Linked DNA regions of Arabidopsis thaliana. The protein of the gene in region 2 interacts with the protein of the main gene of each other region in a pairwise test. Each region holds a gene or a part of one and is shown on either strand. Other genes may lie near its edges. The genes, in order: AtRZ-1b and AT2G44710.

What was found.
Region 1: the proteins of AT2G44710 (region 2) and AtRZ-1b interact in a two-hybrid assay, tested with the Arabidopsis thaliana proteins (one large-scale study listed by BioGRID).

The regions. Positions count from the first base shown.
Region 1 is NC_003070.9:22,336,775-22,343,478, reverse strand, and holds AtRZ-1b (RNA-binding (RRM/RBD/RNP motifs) family protein with retrovirus zinc finger-like domain-containing protein), read right to left. Parts: upstream 3,671-6,704; 5' UTR 3,598-3,670; intron 3,593-3,597; exon of another isoform or gene 3,481-3,592; intron 3,404-3,480; 5' UTR 3,391-3,403; coding exon 3,265-3,390; exon of another isoform or gene 2,306-3,264; coding exon of another isoform or gene 2,291-2,305; exon of another isoform or gene 2,260-2,290; intron 2,174-2,259; coding exon 1,665-2,173; intron 1,575-1,664; coding exon 1,331-1,574; 3' UTR 1,182-1,330; downstream 1-1,181. Other genes in the region: CB5LP (cytochrome B5-like protein), read left to right, coding at 525-890; AT1G60640 (stress response protein), read left to right, coding at 3,966-4,143, 4,241-4,476, 4,626-4,712, 4,796-4,861, 4,953-5,012, 5,095-5,160, 5,246-5,305, 5,405-5,470 and 3 more; AT1G60630 (Leucine-rich repeat protein kinase family protein), read left to right, coding at 6,694-6,704. UniProt on the Arabidopsis thaliana protein: Binds RNA and DNA sequences non-specifically. May be involved in tolerance to cold stress.
Region 2 is NC_003071.7:18,429,997-18,438,656, forward strand, and holds AT2G44710 (RNA-binding (RRM/RBD/RNP motifs) family protein), read left to right. Parts: upstream 1-2,689; 5' UTR 2,690-2,905; coding exon 2,906-3,185; intron 3,186-3,236; exon of another isoform or gene 3,237-3,460; coding exon of another isoform or gene 3,461-3,485; coding exon 3,486-4,042; intron 4,043-4,125; coding exon 4,126-4,215; intron 4,216-4,306; coding exon 4,307-4,546; intron 4,547-4,830; coding exon 4,831-5,052; intron 5,053-5,126; coding exon 5,127-5,484; intron 5,485-5,589; coding exon 5,590-5,903; intron 5,904-5,995; coding exon 5,996-6,099; intron 6,100-6,191; coding exon 6,192-6,295; intron 6,296-6,391; coding exon 6,392-6,462; intron 6,463-6,543; coding exon 6,544-6,633; 3' UTR 6,634-6,635; exon of another isoform or gene 6,636-6,802; 3' UTR 6,803-7,225; downstream 7,226-8,660. Other genes in the region: ARAC9 (RAC-like 9), read left to right, coding at 43-106, 212-276, 372-437, 539-640; AT2G44700 (Galactose oxidase/kelch repeat superfamily protein), read left to right, coding at 1,019-2,125; AT2G44730 (Alcohol dehydrogenase transcription factor Myb/SANT-like family protein), read right to left, coding at 7,451-8,569; AT2G44735 (uncharacterized protein), read left to right, coding at 8,627-8,660.

The DNA.
Region 1 (6,704 bases), on a different chromosome or scaffold from region 2:
ACAACAAGGTATTATAAATCATAAAGTTTGGTATCCATTTCACTAAGTGACATTTGTTTTTTTTGTTTTTTTTTACATGTCTTATGTGAGTTATGAATAATTAAATTTGTTTCAAACTTTTACATGTGTAATTTTATGATAAATCTTTTATTTACTTATATACCTAAATAATCAAGTTGAATTTGTGCATAGACAAAAATGAGACATCAAATTAGTTAATCGATAATAGTAGGATTCGCCGGGGAGAAGGAGAAAAAAAATTAGATGCATGGGTCTCAGGTTCGAGTAATAACCAAAATAACTACAACTTCATTTTTGCATAGACGTGGAGATGCTTTTTGGTTAGAAACCTCGACAACCACTAACGAAGATGAGGACAATGAAAACGTTGTGTTTTGACTTTTATGCCCCTCTAAACCCTAAATTCAATAATTTGGGTCGTCACTCGTCAGCAAGCTGGATCTAATCCACCACTCTCTCCAATTGTCATTCACTCCGGTTTTGCTATTTCCAAGGAGAGAAAGATGATAGCTGTGATCGGATTGCTTCTGGGTTTTCTAGTATCAGCATTGTTCTTAATCCAAGGAAAGCGAAGAAGAACAAACGACAATCAAGAGAAGAAGAGATCTAGCAGTGAGCCTGTAGAAGATGTGGTAAGACCAAAAAGTTACAGCAAGAGTGAAGTCGCAGTACATAACAAAAGGAACGATTGTTGGATCATAATCAAAGATAAAGTCTATGATATTACTTCTTATGTTGAAGAACATCCTGGTGGTGACGCTATTCTTGATCATGCTGGTGATGATTCTACTGATGGCTTCTTCGGACCTCAACACGCCACTCGTGTTTTCGACATGATTGAAGATTTCTACATCGGGGAACTTCATTAGTAAAAGCTTAAAGATTTGAGATTTGATTGAAGATTTGAGATTTCTTCTTAAGTAAGCTTAAAGATGGCTTTTTTAATTCTCTTCTCATTGAAGATTTGAGATTGCATTACCTTTTTGTCTTGCTAGTGTAACACTTCTTCTTCCATTGTATTGCCAAAGTTTCCTCCTTTCTCTTAATTTTCATGGTGAAGCTATGCTCTGTTTCAAGTGTTCTATGCTTAACTCTGTCTCAAGTGTTTTAAATCCATCAATTTTGAGTTTAATCTATTGAATTGCTTTATGGGAATCAATAGGATCATAAGAACATAACTTTTTTACTGCGATGAAGAATCATAATATTCGACAAAAAAGCATAACAGAGATCTCGAGTTCGAGTTCTATCTCTGATATAGACCTAAATCCCAAAGCATAAGCATTGACATCTGGTTAACCAAAACAAACTACCAACGTTCATATGATGAAGGTCTGCCTCCAGGACGGCTAGGACGGTCATAAGGACCTGGTCTGCTTCTGTAGGGTCTTCCCTCATCGCGTATCGGTCCCATATCTCCATATCTGTCACTTGTATCCCTTGCGTATCTGTCCCTGTCATAGCTTCTCTCTCTCCCGCGATATTCATTCTCAAGATGATGTTCAGGCATCCCATACCTATCACTCACAAAACGGTCTCCTGGTGGTGCGTATCTACATTGTTAATACATCAAAAGGTCATGACTTTCCTAAAAGAACACATGTTGGAACATTTATTTAGACCTGAGGACAAGAGCTACAAACCTCTCAAATGGATAGTGATCACGAGGCTCATACTTGTCTCCACTGTCGAAGCGGTCCCTGTAGCTATATCGTCCCCCATCTCGGTCACGGCGTCCATCCATGTAGCGGTCAAACTCACGCTCCCGCTCCCGCTCCCTCTCCAGATCACGATCTCCATAGCGATCTCGGTGTCCATCTATGTCTCCAATACGAGAGCGCATCGCAAGGGGAACTCTGAACCGTTCTCGATCGTCACCAGTTGATGGGCAATCTCGAGCCCAATGACCAGGGCGTCTGCATTTAAAGCACTCATCCTCGGTTCCCTTCCCTCGAGATGAATAGCCTCCACCTTTCTTTAATTGGTCTACATCTTCTCCACCAACTTTGGGCTCAGCTTTGTTCACGGAGATGACCTTATTGCCCAACTCCCTTCCATGCATGTGCTTAATTGCATCATCAGCTCCTCTGCGATCAGTGAATGTAATAAACCCAAAACCACGTGGACGCCCAGTATCTCTCCCCACCATAATCTACAAGTACGCAAAGAAGACCAATAATGTTATTAAAATGCATATTGAGCCAGGAACAAGATATATTACTAAGAACCAGATGTTACATTAGAGTTAAGAAATAAGCAGATGTATTACATTCCTATCTCTCATATAGCATGTCCTAGAAGTGGCAAACTCAGAACATTTACAAGCAAACAGAAGACGGTAGCAAGATTCACAAATTTACTTCATTTCAAGTCCTTAGAATCACACAACACAAAGTCAAACTACAGCTGCATACTTGTAGAAATACTAATCCACAAGAAGTATCACCACAACAATAATCCTAGCAAAACGATGTTGGAGATTAGCCTCTAGCCAACCATACTTTTAACCCTTACAACAGACCTGTTACCTCAAATCAGTTTCCCACAACAAATCCACAGGAATGCGTTTTCCATGCTAATTCCACTAAAAAAGAAGACTAATATTCTGATCAAGACCTAAAAAAGAAGACTAATATTCTGATCAAGACCATTTTTGACCAGAAACTTATCATCTTGGTGTATTGATAGACTACTTAGAGATGCTTACATGTGCCAATAACTGTACTTTTACAATTACAACAACTAGTGGCTCATGATGAATGAGTACAAGAAAACCATCTCAGTGACTACTAAAGCAGATACCACAGGCAAGAGAATAAAAGATGGTTAGTCCTGATTGGTGTCAAAACCACTGAAAAGAGAGCTCAGCTGCAATTTAATCATAATATCCAACAAAACACAGTGACGTCAAACCAAAATTACTGCACTGATGCTGAGACAAGAGCCATGATCTATCTCAAAACTCTTGCATTTCTAAACATACGGCTCTCAAACAGATTTTCAGATCAAGAGGAGGTTGAGATGCATGTTTACTTCCTAAGAAAGCTCTACTAATTCCTCGACTGCATCCTTCAACAAGTCAATAAACCTCAATATCTGTGTGTGCTCTTCTACAGAATAGATGAGTCTTAGGTTCATCAAACAAAACTATCCTACAATCTCAGAGGTATCATTCACTAAACACAGGTTTCAAAACGAGTCTCTGAGACTTCTGATCATAAAGTACGAGAATCGATACAAGACCTGACACTCAGTGATTTTCCCGTAGCGGTCAAAGGTACTCTCAAGCTGTCTCTCTGTGACATCCCACGATAACCCTCCCACGAAGATTCTGCTCTCAAGATTTCCATCGTTTTCTCTATCTTTCATTGTGAAACTCTCACTGAAACCAAAAACGCATAAACATAGTTAGCCCACAAAATCAAACTCGAAAAATCAAAGCGAAACTCCAACTCTTACTTAAACAACTCAAAAAAATTCTATTGAAACAAAGATTCGGGTCAATAAACTTGCTGAAATCCGAAGTAAGAAAAAGAAACCCTAGAAATTTCGATATGATAAACCCTAATTACTCACCGCTAATCCAAAGGTCAGACCTTTCTGCGGTTTTGGCGATTGGTGATGGACAATGAAATAACTGCAGAGGATTAACTTCAACTCAATAAGTATATTTATTGGGATAAAATGTTGTCCACTCAATGACTAAAACACCCTTATAAAAGTTACTTAATTTACAAAAATAACCTAAAAACCCTAAAACCCTTCTCTTTAGCAAAGCTTTCCCCTTTTCAGTCTCCAAGCTCTCTTCTGCGGAACTCACGGTACGAAAGTCTCCTCTTTTCTATTTACTTTAATCCGAAGTTTGCTCCTTTACTTTTGATTTGTTGGAGAATTTCGAATTCTAAATTTGGGTTTTGTCTCTGTAGAGTAAACACGAAGTAAAAATGATAAAGAGACGATTTTACAAGCTTGAGCATGGTGATAAAGACAGTGGATCCGATTCATCGTGCTTCTCTTCTGACTCTGATCCTGAGACGGAAGAATCAGAACAATCTGAAGAAGAAGACTCTGTTGCAGAAGTTTCCGAGGACGGTGATGATTCAGGAGATGATGAATCCCCAGGTTTGCTTCTTCAATTGAGCAATTATCTCTTTTAGTTCTCTTGTGATTGTACTCTCAGAGAACCTTTGGTAAAATCTTTGCTTATTCTCTGTTATAGCTGCTGGCGAAGACGCTGATGTTGATGATGGTGATGATAACTCTGATGCTGATGACTATGGTGGGACATTGGAGAAGATGTCAATGAATCGTTTTTTAGAAGAACCACCCGAAGAAGAGGAAGAGAACTATATTCTCGGTTGTATGATACAATCCAAATCGGTTTATAAATGCAGATATTGTCCAACCGTTGTTTGCTTGAATGAGAACACAATGCAAGCACATGTTTCATCAAAGGTAAATTAGGTAGCTTTGAATTAGCATTTGAGTGTTTGGTCCTTTTTGGAATCAAGTAGTAGATGATAAGCACGGGATTAGTTTTGAGCTTTTCCTCATCAGTCTTGTAGTTGATGAGATAGTATTTTTTGTCGTTTGACTCATTTCAGAAGCATGCTCGTATGGAGAAATTAGTGAAAGAAGGAAAGATTAGAACTGATGACGAAGAAGTTGACGATCTAGAGACAGCATCTCAGGTTACATTAGAGAATTTGCCAACGAGTGCTTTTTGTTTTGTCAATGAGTCCTAACCAAATTCTTGCACAAATCTTAAATGTAGGAGAAGGAGAAAAAAGGAAACAGAAGATCACAAAGACAGGGAAAGAGATCTCAAAAACAGGAAAAGGTAAATGTAGCTTGCTCAATACTGAAGCATTGTGACCATGGTTGGTTTGTTGGAAACCTAATTGATTCGTGTTTTCAATATAAACGTCTAGGATTCATTGACCAAAAATGGAGAAAACGAAGAAGTTGAAGATCCAGAGACGCCATCTCAGGTGAGATTTAAGACAATGCCATCAAATGCTTGTGTTAGTCCAATGAGTCCTAACCAAAGTCTTGCAAATATCCTAAATGTAGGAGAAGCAGATAAAAGGAAACAGAAGAGCTCGGAGAGAGCTTAGGAGATCACAAAAACAGGAAAAGGTAAAATTTGCCTGCTCTATAACCCTGTGACCATGGTTGACCTGTCAAAAACCTTATCTATTCGTTTCTTAATATGAACATCCAGGATTCATCGACCAAACATGGAGAAAACGAAGAGGTTGACAATTCAGGGACGCCATCTCAGGTTTTTCTTTTTGACGTTCGAGCAAATGTCAACAAGTGCTTTGTGTTCTTCCCATGAGTCATTTACTCAACCAAATTCTTGCAAAACTACTAAATGTAGGGGAAGCAGATAAAAGAAAACAGTAGAGCACGAAGACAGCGTAAGAGATTAGAAAAACAGGGAAAGGTAAAAGTAGCCTGCTCATTACTGTAACCTTGTGACGATGGATGGTTTGTCTGAAACCTTATTGATTCGTCTTTTTAATATGAACATCCAGGGTTCATTAACCAAACATGGAGAAAACGAAGAAGTTGACAATCCAGAGACACCATCACAGGTTTTCTTTTTGAATTCTAGCAAATGCAAACAAGTGCTTTGTTATTCTTCCGCTGAGACCTAACAAATTGTTTCAAAAATCTTAATTTTAGGAGAAGCAGATAAAAGGAAACAGTAGCTCACGAAGACAGCTTAAGAGATCAGAAAAACAGGAAAAGGTAAATAGCCTGCTCATAATTGTATCCTTGTAACCATTGTTGGTCTGTCAAAACCCCTAATCGATTCATTCTTTCTTACCAATATCCAGATTCCATCGACTAAGGAAGGAGAAAACGAAGATGCATCACAAAAATCTAGAAAGAAAAGGCGTCAAACTAAGGATTGAAACTGCTGTATTGCCCAATATGGTTAGCCAGAAAGATTCATCTTTTTTTACTTGGATGTCGATGAATAGATGAAGAAACATAGGTTGAGAGTGAGTTAATTATGTGCTTTTTAAACTTCAAGTTTTGTCTACCAAATACGGTGCTTGTTATAACTGATATGATTTTGATAATTGAGTTATACAATTCTTTTTTACAAGTTGTATCCTTTTTTCATTTCGAACCATCCCCCTCTTACTCAACGAGAGAGATTGGGAAATAATTGCTTGAAGCAGAAAATCGAATAACAGATTAGTTGAATTAAAAATATGTTTACTTGAAACTATGTTCCTCCAATACCATCAATGATCTCTGGCATTTCCCTCCAATTTCTGTCGTTTTCTCTTCCCAAGTCAGCACTCAGCACTTGTCTTGAGAAAGTTCAAAGACTTGAGTGAAAAAGACAAAAACTTTAATATTTTCTTCTCTTCTTTTAATCTTGGTCTCCACCATAAACAATTATTGATCTACATATCTGTGTAAAACAGTGGAAGTGTACACACGAAATAATATTTTTATGAATGCATTGAAAAAGGAAACAAGTGAGACAAGTGAGATTTGATTAACTTCTCCTACTGCTCTTAAAGTATCAAGAAGCATTGGCTTCACGTGACATCTTCGCTGTCATGTCCGTGATCGAGCTTCTTCATCGATGCCACTTACAACTGCTGATTCTATCATGACTTGGTAAAAAATCTCTTGAATTCCATTATGATCTCTTC
Region 2 (8,660 bases):
AACACTGATCTCATGTGCATATGGATCGGTTTTCTTTCGCAGTGGGTACCCGAGCTGAGACATTATGCCCCGACTGTGCCTATTGTTCTTGTGGGAACCAAATCAGGTTGAAGATAATGAACCACTCTGTTATGTCTTGAATGTTAGGAATCTAACATCAATGTGTAAGTGATGTTATGTAGTATATAAGATGAATTTCTTGATATTGCAGATCTAAGAGACAACATGCAGTTCCCAAAGAATTATCCAGGTGCTTGCACAATCTTCCCAGAACAGGTATGTTTTTTTAAAGATTCTTCTTCAATGTATATGATCAAGAACCATGTTAAGAATCAAACTCTTTTATAACTCAAAGATTGCTTCTTTTATAGGGTCAAGAACTAAGAAAGGAAATAGGAGCATTAGCATACATAGAGTGCAGCTCAAAAGCACAAATGGTAAAGTAACCATTAATGCTTGAGTTACATTTTACAATTAGACCAAATATTTTGGACCTCAATCTGATAAAGAAAGACTTATGATGATGCTAAATTTGCAGAACGTAAAAGCCGTGTTTGATGAAGCGATCAAAGTAGTTTTACATCCTCCTTCAAAGACTAAGAAGCGAAAGAGAAAGATCGGTTTATGCCATGTTCTTTGACTAGTGTACTCAAGTCTCTGGCTTTGGTTTGTTTTACATCTTTTTTAGTGTGTTTCTTCTATGAAGGACTCTTGCAGATTTTAGTATGATTAGCTATCTTCGTTATAAAAGTTTGATCTTGTAGTAGAGATTCTTGTAACAGAATTATAAGCGAATTCTCGTCTATCAGTCTATGTAAAAGAACAATGTTTGTCTTCTTTGAGTTCAAGAGACAACAACAAAGAACCGTTTTAGCGCAAAAAGAAACAAAATAAACCGATTGAAACAGAATCGAAGAATAAATAAACCGGGTTTTGTTTTTTGGCTAATAACCGAAACCGAAATAGAATAAATCAATAAAATCTCAATTCTCTAGTCTTCTCCTTTAAACTAGAGTCGATGTCTAGCTCCAACGAACCACCGCGAAAAACCGACCAACCATCGTCGTCATCGGCATCGGCATCGGCATCGCCGTCATTGTTTTTGTCACTGCCACTGGAAATCATTTCGATGATCTTAGCCCGCGTCCCAAAACGATATTACCCAATCCTCTGCTCCGTCTCCAAGAACATGCGGAGTCTTGTTCGCTCGCCTGAAATTCACAAGGCTCGATCTTTACTCGGAAAAGATTATCTCTATATCGGCTTCATCGACGAAAATTATCGCCCCGTATACGACTACTGGTACACTCTCCGGAGAATCGAGAACAGTACGACCGAGAATCTCTTCGAATCCATTGAGTTCCCTTATCCTTCCGAGCCTAATCGATTTTCCATGAACGCCGTTGGTCCAAAGATCTTCTTCATTTCAGAATCTTGTACTCCTTCATCAAGACTTTCGATCTTTGACACCCGATTTGGGGAGTTGCGTCAAGGACCTTGTTTGCTAGTGAAGCGAGGGTACAATTGCGTAGGACTAGTCGGCGGTAAGGTCTATGTGATCGGAGGCTATCAGGACGACGAGATTGCAGCGGAAAGCTTTGATCTAAATACGCAAACTTGGGAAGCAGCGCCGATTCCCGATGAAAAAGAAAGTCACAGGTGGATTTGTAAAGCAAATGTTTCATTTGACAGGAAGGTTTGTGCTTTAAGATCTCGTGAAGGCATGACTTGTTATGACACTAGAGATGGTTCTTGTCAGAGATCTGAGATGCCTAATGATCAATGGTCTAGAGTAGGATTGTGCGTGATTGACAATGTGCTCTTTGTTTACTTCTCTAGATTCGGGTTAATGTGGTATGACTCTAAACTGATGCTGTGGAGAGTGGTTTATGGTTTTGATCTTGACAACGCTCGATCAGTTGGAATCGGGGAATACTACGGAAAGTTGGCGTTTATATGGGAAAAACCAAGTCTTAATGTTAGTGAAAGCAAAGAGATTTGGTGTAGAATGATTGGTTTGCTTAGGAGTGAAGTAGGAATTCATGGAGCTGCAGAACCGTCTCAACTTGTCGAGATTGTCCCTAACGGTTATAGAATGTGTCATTGTCTGTCTCTTTCAGGTTAAAACATGTCTAGTACTACTTTCTTTGGTGTAAAATGATTGTTTTGGATAGGAGTGAAGTAGGAATTCATGTGACTAAAGATGATGATGTTTAATACTTTCGTTAGTCTATATCAATACAATGTGTTACAAGATTATGAATGTGTTGCGGCGTTTACGTCTTCAACTCTCGATTTATTCAATTAATGTTGCAGTTTCAGCATCTTCCTCTGTTCCACCTAATCAAGTTTGTGTTATTGTAAACTCACTCAGTTAAGTGTATTTTACATCGGAGTTGTTGTGTTGTGTTTCTCTTGCCCATTAAACCGATTCCATCGAAAACTGTATTCTTAAACCGAATAATGCAAATATAAATTATAAACCAAGACGAAACCAAAAAAAGATAACCGAAAATGAATGAAAACCGGACTGAACATCGGTAATACAATTAGTCAACCAACACACTTGAAACTCCATACGAGTAAAGGCCCATTGGGGATGAGGATATTTGGGCCAATCCTTCTTACCGTTTTTCGTTTGTTAACAATTACCGAATTAAAAGCTTGATCGCCACGTCTTTTTCTTAATAGAATATATTGATTTTATTTATCTTTTATTTTTAGACCAAGCTCAGGCTATCATCTCTCCGTTAATTAGGGTTTTCTTCTCTATCTCGATTTCAATACCATTGTTGATCCGCTGAGCTAGGGTTGTTCGATCCCGATAATTGTGTCGCTTAGCTCTGATCTCTGTTCATCGAATTTGGTTAATTTGTTTTGATTGGTTAAGATACATTGGAAAGCGATGCCACCGAAGGTTGTGAAGAGGGGAGGCGCCGCGAGAAGAGGTGGGAGGCTTACGAGATCGGCGCTCAAGGCGCAGAATCCTCACGTGGAATCTTCCCATGACGAATCTGTTAATATCGGTGAGCTCTCAGGCTCCGATGCACTGGAAGCCAAGGAGGTGACTCCGGAGGTTGATAAAACTGTTGAGGAAGAGAATCCATTAGATGTGCCGAAGTCATCGGATTCAATTGATGATTCTGAAGCTGCAGCGAATCCGCATGTTGATGTTCCGTCGAAAAGTAAGATTCTTTTAGCCTGGTTATTAATTTTGTTTCGTTTTTGGGATTCTCTACGTTTTCGTTGTTTTGATGGATCTAAGTTTCGCTTTGACGAAAGTTTGTGACTTAGAGTTCCAACATATCTGACCATAGAGATTAAATGAATGTCTGACCATTGAATGTATGAATCTAATTTGGAGGATGGATGTTTAGCTGTTTTTAATTCTGTGGAAGATAGACGTATCTTCTGAGATTGTTATCTCTGAACAAACTTTAGGCTACCTGGAATAGTGTAGATGTTTTACTCGCTTTTACTCGCAGAGGAGACTGAGGTAGAGGAATCTGTGGATGATTTTGGAAAAGATGAAAGATTGGATTTAGATGACAATGAACCTGAGTATGAGGCTGAGGAATATGGCGGGGAGGAGTTTGAAGAGAGGGAATTGGGACAGGAGGACCATGAGTTGGTAAATGAGGAGGGGGAAGAACTGGAGGAAGAGATTGAGGTCGAGGAGGAAGCTGGTGAGTTTGCAGACGAGATTGGAGATGGTGCGGAGGACCTTGATAGTGAGGATGATGATGATGATCATGCTATTGAAGAGGTCAAGCATGGAGAAACTGTTGATGTGGAAGAAGAAGAGCATCATGATGTTCTCCATGAGAGGCGTAAGCGTAAGGAGTTCGAAATATTTGTTGGGAGTTTGGACAAAGGTGCTTCGGAGGAGGACTTAAAGAAAGTGTTTGGTCATGTGGGCGAGGTGACTGAAGTTAGGATTTTGAAGAATCCTCAGACAAAGAAGAGCAAGGGTTCTGCTTTCTTGCGTTTTGCAACTGTGGAACAGGCAAAACGAGCTGTTAAAGAGCTTAAAAGCCCAATGGTAATTGTCTACACTTTAGTATTTGATGGAGAGTTTGTGTAGCTTTACATTTTGTATCATGCTCTTGGTCATTGGGACTGCAGATAAATGGTAAAAAGTGTGGTGTAACTGCAAGCCAAGATAATGATACCCTCTTCGTTGGTAACATATGCAAGATATGGACCCCAGAAGCTGTAAGTATTTGGGTGTCCGTAGATATGTCAATTAAACCCAACTCCACAGTTCGTGGTGATCCTGACAATCAGGTATTTGTTGTTGTTCCAGTTGAGGGAGAAGCTTAAACACTATGGAGTTGAGAATATGGATGATATAACGTTGGTAGAGGACAGCAACAATGTCAACATGAATCGAGGGTATGCCTTTTTGGAATTCTCATCTCGCTCAGATGCCATGGATGCTCACAAGCGTCTCGTCAAGAAAGATGTGATGTTTGGAGTTGAGAAGCCTGCAAAGGTCTCTTTTACTGATTCTTTCTTAGACCTGGAAGATGAGATAATGGCGCAGGTACTCACATTGCAGGATCAATTATTTCTAGCAACTTTCATCCTACCATGTCTTCTTTAGAGCGTTGGAGGAGTTTATAGGGGCATGTGTGGGTGCCACCTATTCTGTATGGTGACTTAGAATACTTGCTAAACCCATCATGAAAACAGAGTCAGAATACATATTCCTTTTGGCCCTCTAACAACATGCTAGATACTGAATTATTGATTGTTGGTGAATCTATTATATCTAACTTATCTATCTTGCTCATAGTAATTAGTTTTATGATATTTCTGGTGTTACAGGTTAAGACAATCTTCATTGACGGTCTGTTACCTTCATGGAATGAAGAACGTGTTAGAGACCTTCTGAAACCATATGGTAAACTTGAAAAAGTTGAGCTTGCTCGCAATATGCCATCAGCAAGGAGGAAAGATTTTGGCTTTGTAACTTTTGATACTCATGAAGCTGCTGTGAGTTGTGCCAAATTCATCAACAACTCAGAGCTAGGCGAAGGGGAGGACAAGGTATGCATAATTTAAATGCATTATCCTTATCCACGAAGTATTTTCTTGCTTTCTAATTCTCTTTTTTTTTCCAGGCAAAAGTGAGAGCACGCCTGTCTAGACCACTTCAGAAAGCAGGTAAAGGCCGACAATCTAGTCGCTCAGACCAGCGGTCTAGGCATGGGGCTGGACGGTCTGGAAGGAGTTCATTTGCTCGTCTTCCACCTCGTAGCCTTGCTTCCTCTCGGAGTGCTAGAGGCGCTGGATCTCGGGCCCCATCTTCTAGTGCAAAGAGAGCTTCTGGATCAAGAGGAAGACGTCCTCGCCCACCTCTACCTCCGCCTGCAAGAGCTAGGCCCTTGCCTCCACCTGCAAGAGCCAGGCCCATGCCACCACCTGCAAGAGCCAGGCCCTTGCCACCACCTGCTAGGTCATATGATAGAAGACCTCCAGGTACCACTGGAATTATTACATGTTTAGTTATCTTTTTTAGTTGAATCTCTTTTGTGTTCATGTATCTAATGATTCTGATCATATCTTCCATATTGTGTTTTGCAGTTCCTCTGTATCCAAAGGCTAGCTTGAAGAGAGACTATGATCGGCGTGATGAACTTCCTCCTCCAAGAAGCAGACCAGCTGTAAGCTATAGTTCCAGGCTTTCTCCTGAGAGGCATCTGTCTTACAGAGATGATTATCCACCCCGGGGTTCGGGTTATTCAGATCTTCCTAGAAGTTCTTCTCGCTCTGAAATTAGGAGGCCATTCGTAGATGACCTTTACAGTCCGAGATTTGAAAGACCTCCAAGTTACAGTGAGGGAAGACCTCGTGCTTATGAACCTCTTCCTGGATCAAAGCGTCCATATGCTGCACTGGTCTGACTTATTGTTTTCTCCGACCAGTTTGTCTTCTTAATTTTGTTTCTTTAGACTATGATTGTTTACTCTAACGAGTGTTCATTATTCAGGATGACCTTCCTCCCCGTTATGCTGATGTTGATGTTCGTCATTCAAGACCCCGTCTGGACTATGATGTTGGCCCATCTCAATATGGGGAATCCTACGGGGACCGGTATGTTCTCTTTTTATGGATAGCTTCAGTTATTTTTGGTAGCAATTTTCTGTGCCAAGTGTATTATTTTCTTACTTCCATGTTTGGTCTAGGATTCCTAGGTCTAGTCTAGGATATGGAAGCAGCCGAAATTCTATGTCAAATCATGACTCGCGGGGCCCATACAGCAGTCGTCAGGGAATGGATTATGGAGGAGGTTTGATTCAGAACTTGGCTTAACAGAGAGCAATACTTCGTCGAGATACACTTACTGCCTTCAATGGCTATAATTTCATAATGTTGCTTTCTTCAGGTTCTTATAGTGGCAGCGATGTAGGAGGTATGTACTCGTCAAGCTATGGTGGCGACTTACCCAGAAGAGATGTAAGTGGCTTCACACTTTCCCCTTTTTTATATTTATTTTGGAAAGTCAAGTTGTGTAACATTTTAGTATTGGATTTACAGGGAGGAGGTAGCTCGTATTCTTCAATTTACTCCAGCCGTGGCTTGGGTGGTAGTAGTTACTCTGGTGGTGGTCCAGGATCATACTACTGAATGTGAGTGTGTTTGGTTCCTTCCATCTTTAGTTGTGTCTTTGTGCATTATTTTTTGGTTTTGTTTGTGGGATATATTGTTGGTTGGAAAGAAAACGGTATCTCCTCTTTCAAGCTCTAAGCAGGAACTATAGATCAAATGTGTGCTTAAGTTTGTTAATGGAACACAGAATTTCACATGACCGAGGCTGCTAAAAAAGGAGGTTTGGCCATGCAAAGTTGTGTATGTAGAAAGGAAGCTACCAGCTGCGAAAGGATTAAAGCCAGCTTCGGTGAGACTGTTGGAATATTAATGGGCTTGCATCTACAACTGCACTTGTATCTTTTTTCGGATGGAATGATAAGCTCGAGTTTTATAGAGATGGTTCATAGTTGTGGGACTCGTTATCTATCTTATCTATCTCTATCTCTTGAATAATGGATGGATTTGTTGGAACAGAGATTAAGCTGTGTTTGTATTATTGATCCATCAGTTTAGTTAAGCTTTCACCGTCTTCTCAGCTTAAGATTTGCATTACTTCTGTTTAGATCTGATGCTTGCTCTGTTTTACTCTCACTGTGGTAAAACAGAGACATTATCCTTGAGACTTGTGGAAGAGACATTAACAACCTCTCACTGTCGGAAACTGAGGAACTCCCAATTTTTATACACTTTATAACATACATAATCAAGCAGGGATACATTACTGGTGTTAGACAGATGCATAAGCTAATAAAAGCTCTTTCGATTTCTACAATCTAGAAAATTTGAAAATCACACATTAATTTAATTTATGGCGCCTTTTGATCAGGAGTCAGCTAAAGACGACGACATTCTTCTATCTAGCTTTCTTCTTCTTGTCTTGCTCCTCCGTAGTAGTATAATCTGATAAGCTTTTAGCAAACGCTTCCACAATTCGTTGTTGAGATTCCAAAATCATCTTTGTCCTCTTCATCTCTGTATCCATCCTCATCGCTTCTATCTCTCTCGTCATCTCCATTCTCGTCTGCTCTGTTCTCACCAACGTATCTCCAAGCAGCTTTATCGCACTAGCTATCTCCACCATTGGATCATTATCATCCTCCTCCGTCTTCATCATCATCTCTCTCCCTCGTTTCCCTCCTCCTTCAGGAATTCTCACAACTCTAGCACCGTAACTAGATCCTCCTGCTCCGATACCACGACCAGCTCTCGGATTTGAACTCACACCAGCACTTGGACTCGCCGTGTATTTCTGATCAATCTTACCGGGAAACCTCGGTCCAGGCTGTGCTATACTCACTCCAGTCGGTATCCGAATTCGAATCCCGCCGCTACTACTACTCCCTCCACCACCACCAGATCCAGCTGTACCATTCCTGTTAAAGAACCTCGGCGTCGTCCTCGCTCCTCCTCCTCCGCCGCTGAATTGATACCTAGCTGTGTAATTACCATCATCGTGATCATCATCATCTCCACTTTCGTTACCTTGTTTAATCTCTGGTCTATTCTCCATAGCTTCCATTCGCTTAAAATGAACCCAAGACGATATAAACCTCGCCACCGGCACAGATCTAGCTCTCTGTATCTCGGTCCGGTACCTTTTCCGGAGCTTCTCCATCTTGTGACGGCACTGAACCGCGGTTTTCTTAAGAATCACGTCGGGGCAGTTAGCACCAACCGCTTCTGCAACTTCTTCCCAGTGATTCGCCTTTAGATTTCCACGGTTAAGAGCGTACCATTTGTCTCTGTACGCGTCAATTAGCGCGATCGTCTCTTCCAGAGACCAGCACGGCGGAGGTAACCGCCTAGAGTTCTTGGACGCGGTGGGGATGGAGGCGCTCTTCAGATCTGTGTTGGAAGCTGGTTCGGTTGACGCATCGTCATGAGCGGAGGAAGATAATGGTGGCGGGAGGGGAGCTAAAGGTGATGGATCCGGAATTGGATCGTGGTTCATCGGAGAATCCGGATCGGACATGGATCAAAAAATTGAAGAAGAAGGAAAGAAAAAGACAGATCTTGTGAAGGAAGAGAAATGGCTGTAATGCGATGGCTTTTCGCGGCGGCGA